Linked DNA regions of Sus scrofa. The protein of the gene in region 1 interacts with the protein of each later gene in a pairwise test. Links are inferred from orthologs where the notes say so. Each region holds a gene or a part of one and is shown on either strand. Other genes may lie near its edges. The genes, in order: RBM10 and RBM12B.

Region 1 (6,140 bases):
TTCCTCTCTATTCTTAGGATTTGTCAAGCTCCTTCCCACCACAGGGCCTTTGCACTTGCTCTTTCCTCTGCTGGGAAAGCTTTTCCCGCCGACCTAGCTGTGGCTGGATCTGCCTCCTCAATCAAGGTTTTGGCTTCATCATCGCTCCCCTCAGGAGGCATTTCCTAGTCACCTTGTCTATTAAGTTGAGCTAGAGCAAACTGACATTTTTAACAGGTCAAAAATTATTGAATATTGGCAATTTCCTATGGCTCAAACTAATAAAATAACTCCCTACCCCAAGTCACTATCCATTCACTTATCTTGCTTAACAGTCTTTCTAGCATTTACTTGTTTGCCAAAGCAGTATAGCCCCCAAATCCTCTGATCACATTATCTTATATTATTGATTGCATACTTTATATCACTGGGTTTTTTTTCTTTTTTATCTTTTTGCCTTTTCTAGGGCCGCTCCCACGGCATGTGGAGGCTCCCAGGCTAGGGGTCCAATCAGAGCTGTAGCTGCTGGTCTACACCACAGCCACAGCAACTTGGGATCCGAGCCACGTCTTCGACCTACACCACAGCCCACAGCAACACCGGATCCTTAACCCACTGAGTAAGGCCAAGGATCGAACCTGCACCCTCATGGTTCCTAGTCGGATTCGTTAACCACTGAGCCACGACAGGAATTCCTCTATATCACTGTTTTCTAATATTCTATACATTTATTTTCCCTGTTCTCTGCTATCATGTATGCTCTGTGAAAGCAAGGGCTTTATCTAACTCCCATGTGGCTGAATCCCTAGCACCCTGAACTTAGCCTGGCACACAGCAGGCCTTCAATACATATTTACAGAATTAATATATAAATGAATAAGCATCCTACAGAGCCAAGCTCCTCAACCAAAGGTTAGTATTGATGAAGCATCTATCACGTGCCAGGCCTTTTCACAAGCACAAACTGCACAATATCCTGGTAAGGTGGAAAGTGGCAAGAATAATTAACAGCTTCTAATGGTGAGTACTTAATAAGTGCCAATTGCTGTTCTGAGCACTCTGACTCATTTAATTACACGAGGCAGGTGTAATATTTTATTTTTTAGAAAGTGTCCTAATACTTTCCCCATCTTTCAAAGAAACTGAAGCACCAAGGGGTTAAGCTACTCGCCCAAGGTCACATATGTAAGTAACTATCAGGGCCTGTATTCCAACTCAGGCATTCTGATTTCAGTCTCTGCTAACAGGATAGCACAGCAGACCTGATTCTGCCACACATTCAGTTAAGTGAGCTTGGAGGAGTCACTTAACACCTTCATGCTTCAGTTTCCTCATCTGCAGAATGGGTATATTAATAGTACCTACCTCGAAATAGGGCTGTTTTGAGGATTAAATAAGTTAATATTATAAAGTGTTTCGAACACCTGAGCAAGGACCGTATCAGTGTTTAATATTATTGCTGTTATGGTATACTGCTCATTTCAGGTTTGATATCTGTCTGGAAAATAAGGTCAGTCTCGCCTCTGGCCCTGAACCGAAGGTTATCAGGGGACAAAGGAGGAAAAGGAGCTAGAAAGAACTCCCAAATCTTTGAGGATTTTGCCAGCTGCGCAATCCTCAGCCGACTAAGTACGTCCTCTACGGCGCCCCGTCCGCAGGTCCCCGATTGACCCTTGCGGCGTCCCGTTTCCCCTCCCTCTCACCTTCTCATAGAGGTTTTCGTCCTCCGGATCTGGGTCCTCCTGCAAGCGTATAGTCGGTTCCGGCGGCCGCTTTCCCACCAGAGCGGACGGGGCGATCACAGCCCTGGAGGAGCCGGACTCCCAGCGAACACGGGCAGCCGGGAGCCCTCGCGTCGCCGCTGCTGCTAAAAGGCGGCGAGCGCACAAACCTAACACCCCGGCCGCCATGACAGCTCGTTCTGCAGGCTCGCGGGGGCGGGGACGGAAATGTGACTCTGCGCAGCTGCAGTTGGGCCTGAGCGCGAGAATTGTCGCTCCGCCCCCGCCGCACTAAATAGGTCCCGAGTTGGGATTTTGTTTTCAAACGTCCTCTTTCCCTCCCTCTGTCATGGCCTCACGGGAGCAACCAGCTTCCTATCTTCTCGGTCAGGCTGTGGAATTTCTGGCCGAAAAGGCTGCTTATTTTCTTGACGAGAAGAAAACGGTGACACTTGGGTGGATGCAGTCCCCAACCAATCTCGAGGAGAGTTCCCGTGCCCTTTGGCGAGAGGGGCGGAGCTTCCGCTGGTCTTTCATCTTCCTAGGAAGCCGAGCTTCTAAAAAGCGGGCCTCGCCGGATTGGCCAATAGCTACTCTTTTTCTCGACTTGCGGGCGTTCGCACGGGGAGCGGGGTGGTGGCATGCGCTTGCCAATCAGAGCAGGCCAGGGCTGGCCCACGAAGGACGGCGACCAATAGACGGGGCCGGCCAGAGCGCGCTCCCTTAGTAGGTGGATGGTGGTCGAAGCGCCGGCTCCCTTCTCGTCGTCGCCATTTTGTGCTGGTGATCGCGGCCGGCTGGGAGTAGGCGGCAGTGAGTTGCCCGGGGAGGGCAGCGCGCCTGGGCGCTCCTTCCCTCCCCAGTCCTCCGCCCTTCCGCATTCAGCCTCGGACTGGGTCGTTGCGCGGACCGGCTCCGGCTGAGCTGGGAGAGTTGGAGGAGGTGGCGGCGGGCCGAGGTGATGTCCGGGAGCCCTCCCTTGACAGCCCGGGCCGAGAAGGTGAGCGTCGACGCTGGTCGTGGGGGCGGAGGTAAGGGACCGGGGGCGGGGGTGGGGGGGGGAACGCGTAGAGGAGGCGCGAGGGCGAACTGCGGGCGGCAGGTTTGGGTTTTCGTGCAGAACCCCCGATGCTCACACGGTCTGTGCTCGGGAGGGGGTGTCTTTTTTTGTTGTTGTTTTTTGTTTTTCTCCTTTTGAGAGCAGAGGCGCGTGCGCGATTGGGACACAGGATGGGTGCACGCGGGTTGGGGGAAGGGAGGGACGGATGGGAGTGGGTTACTGTGGCTTAGTGTGTCTGCGACGCCGAACTTTATCCGTGGGAGGCGAGTGTCTGCGACTTTGGTTTTTATCTATAGGAAGTGTGCTGTCTGCTCTCCTGTGTGACTTTGGTACTTACCTATCCACGGGGAAGTGTTTGGTGGCTCTGGTCCTTATTCTTGAGTGGGGGAGGAGGGAGAACGTATGACTGGGGTCTCTATCCTCGGATCGTGTGTCCGTAACCCTGGTCCTTATCCATGGGGAGGGGTCCTTATCCCAGAAAGTCTTCTTACAACTGGCCCTAATCCACTTACTGGGTGGGAGGAAGTGCAAGGAACGTGTGTAAGACTTAGTGTCCCTTCTTTGCGGGGGTGGGGGGTGGGGGAAGAGGGTGTTTCGTATCTGTTACTCTGACGCTCATCCTGTGAAAGGGGGCCTCAGTGGATGATTATGGCTTGTATTTACCCTGGATTCCTGTCTGTGATTTTGGCCCCTAGTTATTCGGGGCTTGACTCTGTTGAGTTTGTTCCCTATCTGTTGTGGATACCAGTGTATAACCCTGGCTCCTTTGCCAGATCTAAAGGGTTTTGTGTCCGGCTCTCATCCACTGGAGCCCCTGGTCGTGATTCTAACTCTTAGCCATCCGGGAGCGGGTAGCGCTGGTTCTCTGTGGCTTGAGGAGGAAGAGAAAATCGGTGTGAGTGTATCCGCGGAGGAAAGGTGTAGTGGCAACCTAGTTTGGGGCAGGTGCTGTTACCACCTGGCTTTGCCTGAGTCTTGTTCAGAGGGTGGGGCCTAAAGATTCCGGGATACTTTGTGGTGACCCCTGGCCTGGTCTCAAGGCTCTCAGGCCTTCCTTAGTTCTCACCGGAGCCTGAGGGTTGGGTAAAGTGACTGCCCATACGTCCCGGAGGAATAACACATCGGTTCAGAACAGGCTCCGAAAGGACTCGTTTTGCTTCTGAACAACTCGGGTCCAGAGCTCTGGGGAGGGAGCCCCCTTGGGGGACCTGGCTGTGCATAAGAGACAGGGCTCAGGGCTGAGCCAGTTGCGGTGCGGAGCCAAAACTGTGTTGGCCAGGAGCCTAGGGAGGCGGCAGCTGTGTCATTGCCAAGTTAGCCCCGTCACCCCCTGAGCCTTTCGTGGTCTCCTGCCGTGTCAGAGTGGGCAGCCAGCGTCTTTGGGGGAGGATGAAATATTCCCTGGAGGCTCGCGGATGGTAGCCTGGTGGGTGCCTGGGACCCCTGTTGTGGTGTCTTGCCCCGATGTCTAATGTGCCTGATCTGAGACAAGTCACCCAGCACTGAGAGCCCACTCTCCCCTGCTGCCCGCCCGGGCAGATAGCTCTGGGCTTGAACTTGTCTACCAGTCTCCAATGGCAGAGCCCTGATCACAGACAGCATGGGTGGCGCCACTGGGTCTCTCTGCGAGATGCTCCCCCTCTGCTGAAGGCTATGCTGTGTCTAGGGTGGCGGGCTCTAGCTTCACGTTTGTGGGGAAAGAAAGGAAGGAGCAAGCCAAACAGGGACTGCCTTCCTGCTCTGGTCCCCAGGAGTATTTCGAGTTGGGAAACAACATCGCTGGGCTCAGGGACAGCAGAGAGCCTTGAAAAGGTTTTTTCAAGGAACCCGTCTCTGCCTCAACTGCCTTGACCCCTTTCTTCCTTCTCCTCTCCCTAGAGTCCCTGCAGGAGGCATCGCCCAGGCTGGCAGATCATGGTGGCAGCAGCGGGGGTGGCTGGGAAGTGAAACGGAGCCAGCGGCTGAGGAGGGGCCCCAGCAGCCCCCGCAGGCCGTATCAGGACATGGAGTATGAAAGACGGTGAGTTACCCACTCCTACCCCTTCCAAGCAGCCTAGGCTTGTCCTTGTGTGCGAACTGACCCAGGAAAGCGCTGGGAGGGGGCTTCCGGGCAGGGGGAAGGAAAAAAAAAAACAGCACAGCAGATGATTGGTTTCTTTTCAGCAGATGTTTATTTGGCACTTGTGAGCCAGAACTTGCGCTAGGCTCTGAGAGTGCATTGGTGAATGAGATAGATAAGATTGCAGCCTTTGGAGTTCCTGTTGTGGCTCAGCAGGTTAAGAACCCAACATAGTGTCCATGAGGATGTGGGTTGAATCCCTGGCCTCTCTCAGTGGGTTAAGGATCCAGCGTTGCCAAGCTGCAGTGTAGGTCGCAGATGTGGCTCAGATCTGGGGTGGCTGTGGTGTAGGCCAGCAGCTATAGCTCCCTAGCCTGGGAACCTCCATATGCTGCAGATGTGTGGCCATAAAAACAACAAAAATAGGATTGCAGCCTTCTCCTTACTTAGGGTCTCACAGGGGATATTACACAGTTACAGATGATTACAAAACAGCTTGATTGGTGTCGTGTTTGGTTACAGGGTGGGAAGGGATCAAGAGAAAGGGAGGAATGGAGGCTGATGCCCAGGTTTCCAGTCTGGTTGACCCAGATAGGTATATGGTGCCATCCACTAAGATGTGGACAGCCCCTGCAGGAAGAGAGGCGTAGGTGGGTGGCAGGTGGGTGGTGGGTTGTAAGTGCCTGTGGATTCTCAGGGGAAAGGTGTGGGCTGTAGCTTTGGGTTTGAGGGATGGATGGGAGTGGTGCCTTCAGAATCAGGAATTGCCCAGGTCAAGTATGGGGCAAGCCAGGTCAGCAGGTAGAACTCAGCACTGCATTTTTAAGATCTGGGATTCAGGGACAGGGTGGGTTGAAGTTGGTGTGATATTTATCTTGGAATGGGACACTCTCGGATAGTTATTTTTAAACTCTGGTATGAACAAGAAACAGTTGGGACACTTGGTAAAATACAGAGATCCCTTTTAATGTCTTACAGAGGGTTTCTTCTACCTTTTAAAAACTGTAGAATTATAGTATCTCATTTTCTGAAAACTGAGCCCAAATTCTAGATGTGGTCATCATCAGTCTTTGTTTCAGAATATCTTTTGAAAGGCATTCAATTTTGGGTGGTATTCACTGGAAGCGCTCTGTGGCAATTTCTTAGTTTGTGTAGGTAACATACTTGCTTCAGACTTTATTACCAAATAAAACCACTGACTTTCTTTTGGCTTTTAAAGGACCCCAAGTGCAAAGGTTTGAGTTAATCATAGTTTTTCACCTCAAGGTAGGCTTCTATCATAGGTTGGTACAAGACCTTATATTTATTTTTTCCTTTTTAT
Region 2 (6,139 bases), on another chromosome or scaffold:
AAAATTTAACAATCAGTCCTTGATTGGAAAAGGCAAAAGGAAAAAGGTAATGAAAATATTATATATTTTGACTGGATTTTGGGTACATAGGTATATAAATTTATCAAGGCTAAATGAATAATATCTTGTAAAGTCTGTGCATTTCACTGTATATACATTTCATATCCACTTAAAAAAAAAAAGACAACTGTTCTACAAGTAAAATGACATTTTAAAAACACCAAAAATTCCCCACCAAACATCTATCATCACTTCCACCCATGAAAAGACAAAACATCTAACTCATTATGTCCAACTCTCCTGTAAATCTCCTACCTTTCATAAGACCAAATGAACAAAACACTAATGTTTCAAATTCAAAAACCAATTTTTAAAGCAATAAATCCAAACCAATGGCTACCATTTGGATACAATTTTAAGTTCTACATATACGTCCCACACTTTCAAGCATGGACCCAAATTTCCTGATTCCATTATAATTAAGACAAATAGTAAAGTATCCCTAAAAACAAAACTCTCAACTAATACTACTCTTTATCTTAAGCTCACCTGTTATTCCTCATCTTAAATTCCTAATACAATTACTATTAAAATTCATCTGAAGCCAAACACAAAATGTGCAGATAAACACAGAATCTTATTATGCTAGTAAGCATATTACTTTCCAAACAACTGTTCTGCATTCTGAGGAAACCCAAATGACAAAGTAAAAAGTAAAAATATAATAAAAATACATTGATTTGGAATATTTGGGGGTATCAGTATTAACTACTGAAAAATCTCAATTTAATATTTCCTTAAGGAAATTTACATCTAATACTTACAGAGATACCAAACTAACAATATTTACTGTAGATTTTTTTAAAGACCTGCTAAGTTAATAATTATAAATTTGTTATTAATGTGCAAATAAATGTTTTAATTCACTTAAGTACCACTCTTCCACAAAGTGGTGTCTGAAAACATGGTCTTTAAGTCCACAAGGTTTATTTTGCTTTGAAAAAGGTCCATAGATTAAACTTCTTAAACTATAAGGTCAACTAACAATCAAATTAACTGGCACATTTTACACATCAGAATTATCAATACCAAATTGATAATTAAAATATTAATGGGTTCCTGCTGTGGCACAGCAAGTTAAAGATCTGGCACTGTCTCTGCAGGAGCATGGGTTTGACTCCTGGCTGGTGCAGTGGGTTAAGGATCCAGTGTTGCCGCAGGTGCTCAGATTTGATCCATGGTTAAAGATCATATGCAGTGGGTGCAGCCAAAAAAAAATGTATTAATGAAGTTTACTGTTAAAATATCTGCACATTACATGTGTGGGGGCAGGAGACATATGGGAAATCTCTGTACCTTCCACTCAGTATTAATGTGAACCCGAAAAACTGTTATGAAAAAGTGTCTGTTAGAGAAAAAAATCTGAAAGTTATTAAAAAAAAAAAAAAAAAGCTTAGTTTCTTCAGCAAACCAACATCTACAACATTTTTAACAGAAACTGTAAATGGCTTCTGGAATAGCTGTCCACATTAAAGTCCCAAGACTCCTTCCTACACAAAATAAGCTACTCCTTTTTTACCTTTAAAGTATTTTTAGAAAGCAGTGTAATAAACATTTTATCCCTCTTAAACTTTTTAAAAAAATTTAAAAGGGAACATAAATATACCTACAAGAAAAGCTGAGGTCCTTTCAAAGAATACTTATTGTTTGTCAAAGTAAAAAAAAAAAAAAAAAAAAACAGTCTGGTAATTTATCCTAATTTAAAAACAGTATTTTAACTAAGTAGTTCCATGAGTACAAATTAATAAATTCCAATTCGACTATATAAAAACTGTCTTCTAATTTTCCACAGTTAAATATAATTATTGCTTAAACTTTTTTGCCCTTGAAATAGTAATGTACCATTTATCCCTCTACAAAACAAAAACAAAAAAAAAACACCTAGGAGACTACCTATAAGAGACCAGCTCTCAAAATGAGCACCTTTCCTGTGGTTCCCATAGATATTTCCTTAAGCAACCCGAAAAATTCTATTTTTGGAGCATTACACACACAAAAAAGCAAAACACAACAATACTCTACAGTACTCTGCACCTACATTTTTCTACTTATAAATGCAATAAAAGTATTTTCGTGACTGTGTTAAAGACTGATCCGTAAGAACTTTCAACCTATGAAAAAAGTGGGTCCTTAAAAGCTCAATTAAGGGCAAGTCGCTGAAATTACCAAGCTCATTTTAAATTATTTTGCTGATTTCATCCCACCATTCATCCCACTCGATCACGATTATCACAAACAACAGGAAACGTGCATCTAATTAAGCCTGAGGGCAAAGGGAGGAATGCTAAATTTAAATAGATATTATCTCAGATCCATTTATTTTAACTAGAGAACAGCAAGTCATTTTCCAGACACGGTGAAGGAGAGAAAACTGCCACTATTTCTTAAAAAAAGTTACGATGAAGCACATTCCAATTCTAAATGCATGAGTTTCCCCTGCAGAATAAAATCTACCGCGGTCCACAAAGATTCTTTATGACGATATGCCTTTTTTATCCTTTTATAATGCAGATGGTTAAAATAAAAATCAAAGGCATGACGACACAGAGCCAAAGTCCCCAGTAGGAACCGTAAGTGAAGACGAATCCACACGGCACAGGTTTTCCCATAACATCCATCATCCTCAAGGGGGGGGGGGTCCTCCGAAGGCATTGCTTCTATAGCCCAAAGCCTTTGTCCATACTCCCAGGGGTCAGAGCTTCCTTCTTTCGCGCCAAGCCAAAGTTTCTACGTGGGATCCGATGCTGTCGCCAGACCTTCAGCCAAAATCAGCCTTCAAATTAACCTGGACCGCCCAACCTCCGTGCCTTTCCGTTACACCGTCCCAAGGGCAAACATTCCACCCTAACTCTCCAGAGGGTGAACTGCTCCCACACCTAACTCAAACACTCTGGCCCCTCTCAAGCCTAATGAGCTGGGCCTTCAGCGCTTTTCTGCCACCACTGACTACGATGACATAGCAAAGAAAAAAATACCTATGAAATCCTTCGAGATCTTCACTCTCGTGCCGACTGGTAAGTGCAAACACAACACCACATGGAGGCTGTCGGGGGAGTCGGTGTTTAGCAAGGAAAGAGGGTGCCCTAACGGCAGAAGCTACGCTAGTTCCTGGCGCCGCCCCGCCTTTCCCTGTGCTTCCGTCCCTGCCGCCAACCCCTCCCCGCCCCCGACGCCCCAAGGGTAACTGCTTCGCACTTGGCAGTAAACACACACCGCTGCTGCCGAATCAGAACCACAAGGCTGGGGACGGGGAGCACTCCTCGTCGAAGCTGCCTCCCCAAAACAGGTAGAGCCCTCAGTGAGCCTAGAAGAAGATGGCGCCCACTCTCCCCTCCGCTCCGGACAAACGGACGTACAGTTTGTCTGCCCATGCGCTCTCCAGGCGTAACCCACCACCCCGGCGCCCCGGCCACGTTTGCGCACGCGCTCTGACGCTCGCTCGCTTCCTGTTGCCAGGGAAAGGGAGGTGGCTCCCGCGAGCGCTCTCGCCCCTGCTGGGGTTTTTGAGCTCCTGCGCATGCTCAGATTCCAGCCAACCTTGGAACCTGTACTCAGGAGACGTTCTAAGGCAAAGTTCAGGGACTACCGGTTGCTGTAATGAGAAGCTTCAGTAGGCAACAGGCAAGATAGACTAGGCAAAGGTTTGTGACTCGCAGGAGTTAAGAAGAGATACAAAAGCAGAGAAAACCTTGCGATTTCTTCGTCGTCTTTCAGCGCTGCAGTTATATGTTCTAAGCATCTTCCGAAAGGCTCTTTGTAAACACTTTTAAAAGGCCAAAGAAATGTTAGTGCTACTGCCTTAGATGTTCCAGGTACAGTGCTAACGCCCAGGGACTTAATACGTGCATGCTTCTTCCGTTTTATAGACATTTATGAAGAAGTGCTTTATACAGTTGTTGTTCCTACCTTCTGGTCCTTTGAAACGTGAGAACACTTGGGCCAATTTTGAAAACTGGGACGTGAAAAGCACAATTACAGGCATGTGCTGTGGTGCCTACTATGTAAGAGCTGGTGAACAACCCTATGTTTTATTTTATTATTTGCAAAGCAACGCATCACATGTTATAATTCATGATGCGCTTATGGGTGGAATCAAAACTCACTAAGAAAGTAGAAACTTACTTTATAGCAGTATTACAGATAAGAGAGAAAAATGAGGGGCTTTTTTGGTTGGTTTTTTTTTTTAGGGCCGCGCCTGTGGCATTTGGAAGTTCCCAGGCTAGGGGTGGAAAATTGGAGCTACAGCTGCAGGCCTTTGCCACAGCCACAGCAACACGGGATCCTAGCAAGGTCTTCGAGCTACACCACGGCTCACAGCAATGCCAGACCCTTAACCCACTGAGCAAGGCCAGGGATCGAACCCTCATCCTTATGGATCCTAGTCAGATTCGTTAACTGCTGAGCCACAAAGGGAACTCCAAATTTTTTTTTTGTCTTTTTGTTTGTTTGTTTGTTTGTTTAGGGCAGCGCTGGAGGCCTATAGAGGTTCCCAGGCCAGGAACTAAATAGGAGCTGCAGCTGCCAGCCTACACCACAACCCATGGCAATGCCAGATCCCCAAATGCACTGAGCAAGGCCAGAGATTGAACCTGCATCCTCATAGATACTAGTCCTGTTGGTGAACCACTGAGCCATGACCGGAACTCCATGAGCAAAATACCCATTCTCTATAACAAAGAAGAGGTAGTTTAACAAATGAATTAAAAAGGTGGTTCCCTGAGCAAGAGCCACCATTTACTCACTTGGACAAATTACTTCGCCTCTATGCCTCAGTTTCCTCATCTGTAAAATGAGATTAATGTTAATACCTTCTTAGGGTTGCTGGAAACATTCAATGAGTAAATATATGTAAATATCTGAGGCAACGTAAGTGTTCGTGTTTCAAATGTCAAGGTGCTCCCACAGAGGAGCAGTAAATATCGCCTCAGGGAGCTGGGCTCAATGACTAGGTACCATTTATCTTTTTTTTTTCTTTTTGCCTCACCCACAGCATGTGGTGCAGGTTCCCAGGCCAGGGATGGAACCCACACTGCACTTGCAGCTTGCACCACAGCTGCAGCAACACCAGGTCCTTAACCCACTGCACCATGATGGAACTTCTAGTAGCATTTATCTTATTTCCCAAACTTTTAAGGTTTGGTCCTAGCCTAGCAAGCTCAAGAAACTGAACTTAACAGATAACATTTATTGAGGGTTTATTATGTGCCAGTTAATTTGCACTATCTCATTTTTATTCTTACATCTACTTTTGGAAGTAGGTACTGTTATTTTTCCTATTTCTCAAATAAGAGAAACTTAGGCATAAAAGATTACTTAGCTTACCCAAGGTTGCAGAGATAATACAAGCCAGGAATTGAACCATAATGATTTGCTTCCAGAGAACACTGCTCTGTATTACACAAGGAGAGGATTCTGTCTTCTGAGGCAAACTCCCTTTAAACAAGCACACAGAAACCATGCTCCAAAATGTCAATATTGTCAATATTAATTCACAAGAAGAAACACTAGTAAAGTGAACCTAAGATCAACTCAAGCTGACCAGCACTTCATTGGCCATAAACACATTCAATAGGGAGTCAAAAGATGAGAGGATTGTTTGCTAAGCATGAAAATAGAACACGAGTTAAAAAGACACTCTAAAAGTGTCTTCCAGTTAAGGGTACCTAAGAAACCCATCTCACCCATCTTAACAAAAGTAACAGTTAACATTTAATGAGCAACTTACTATAAGGCCCATCTGAACAAGCGTACTTAGATCAGACTCTTTCACTTGGAGAGGCTTAGACAGGTATTGCCAGCTGCCTTTGTGGTTTGTAGATGACCATCCCCTTGCTATTCACACGTATTTTCTCCAAACAGAAGAGTATAATGAATGACTGTTTTTTCTAGTCTGCCTTCTGCCATTCTCTGATGACTACCCCATTACAATCAAAAGAAGAAAATCAGTCAAGTTTACTGGGTTTAACGGAATGGTATTCTGGTTATTGAACAGTACCTTGAACCTTTAGTGTGTCAACATGAAAACCCAATCATTTTAGAGAACAGAGAGAGAGATTCTGGGAGAGCAAAACGGAAGACT

The links.
Region 2: the proteins of RBM10 (region 1) and RBM12B interact in a two-hybrid assay, tested with the Homo sapiens proteins (3 studies listed by BioGRID). The link is inferred for Sus scrofa from reciprocal best matches to the Homo sapiens genes RBM10 and RBM12B.

Annotation. Positions count from the first base shown.
Region 1 is NC_010461.5:41,771,559-41,777,698, forward strand, and holds the start of RBM10 (RNA-binding protein 10), read left to right. Parts: upstream 1-2,339; 5' UTR 2,340-2,661; coding exon 2,662-2,731; intron 2,732-4,638; coding exon 4,639-4,780; intron 4,781-6,140. Other genes in the region: NDUFB11 (NADH dehydrogenase [ubiquinone] 1 beta subcomplex subunit 11, mitochondrial), read right to left, coding at 1,683-1,889. UniProt on the Homo sapiens protein: Binds to ssRNA containing the consensus sequence 5'-AGGUAA-3'. May be involved in post-transcriptional processing, most probably in mRNA splicing. Binds to RNA homopolymers, with a preference for poly(G) and poly(U) and little for poly(A).
Region 2 is NC_010446.5:42,944,218-42,950,356, reverse strand, and holds the start of RBM12B (RNA-binding protein 12B), read right to left. Parts: upstream 3,456-6,139; 5' UTR 3,432-3,455; coding exon 3,417-3,431; exon of another isoform or gene 3,036-3,416; intron 1-3,035.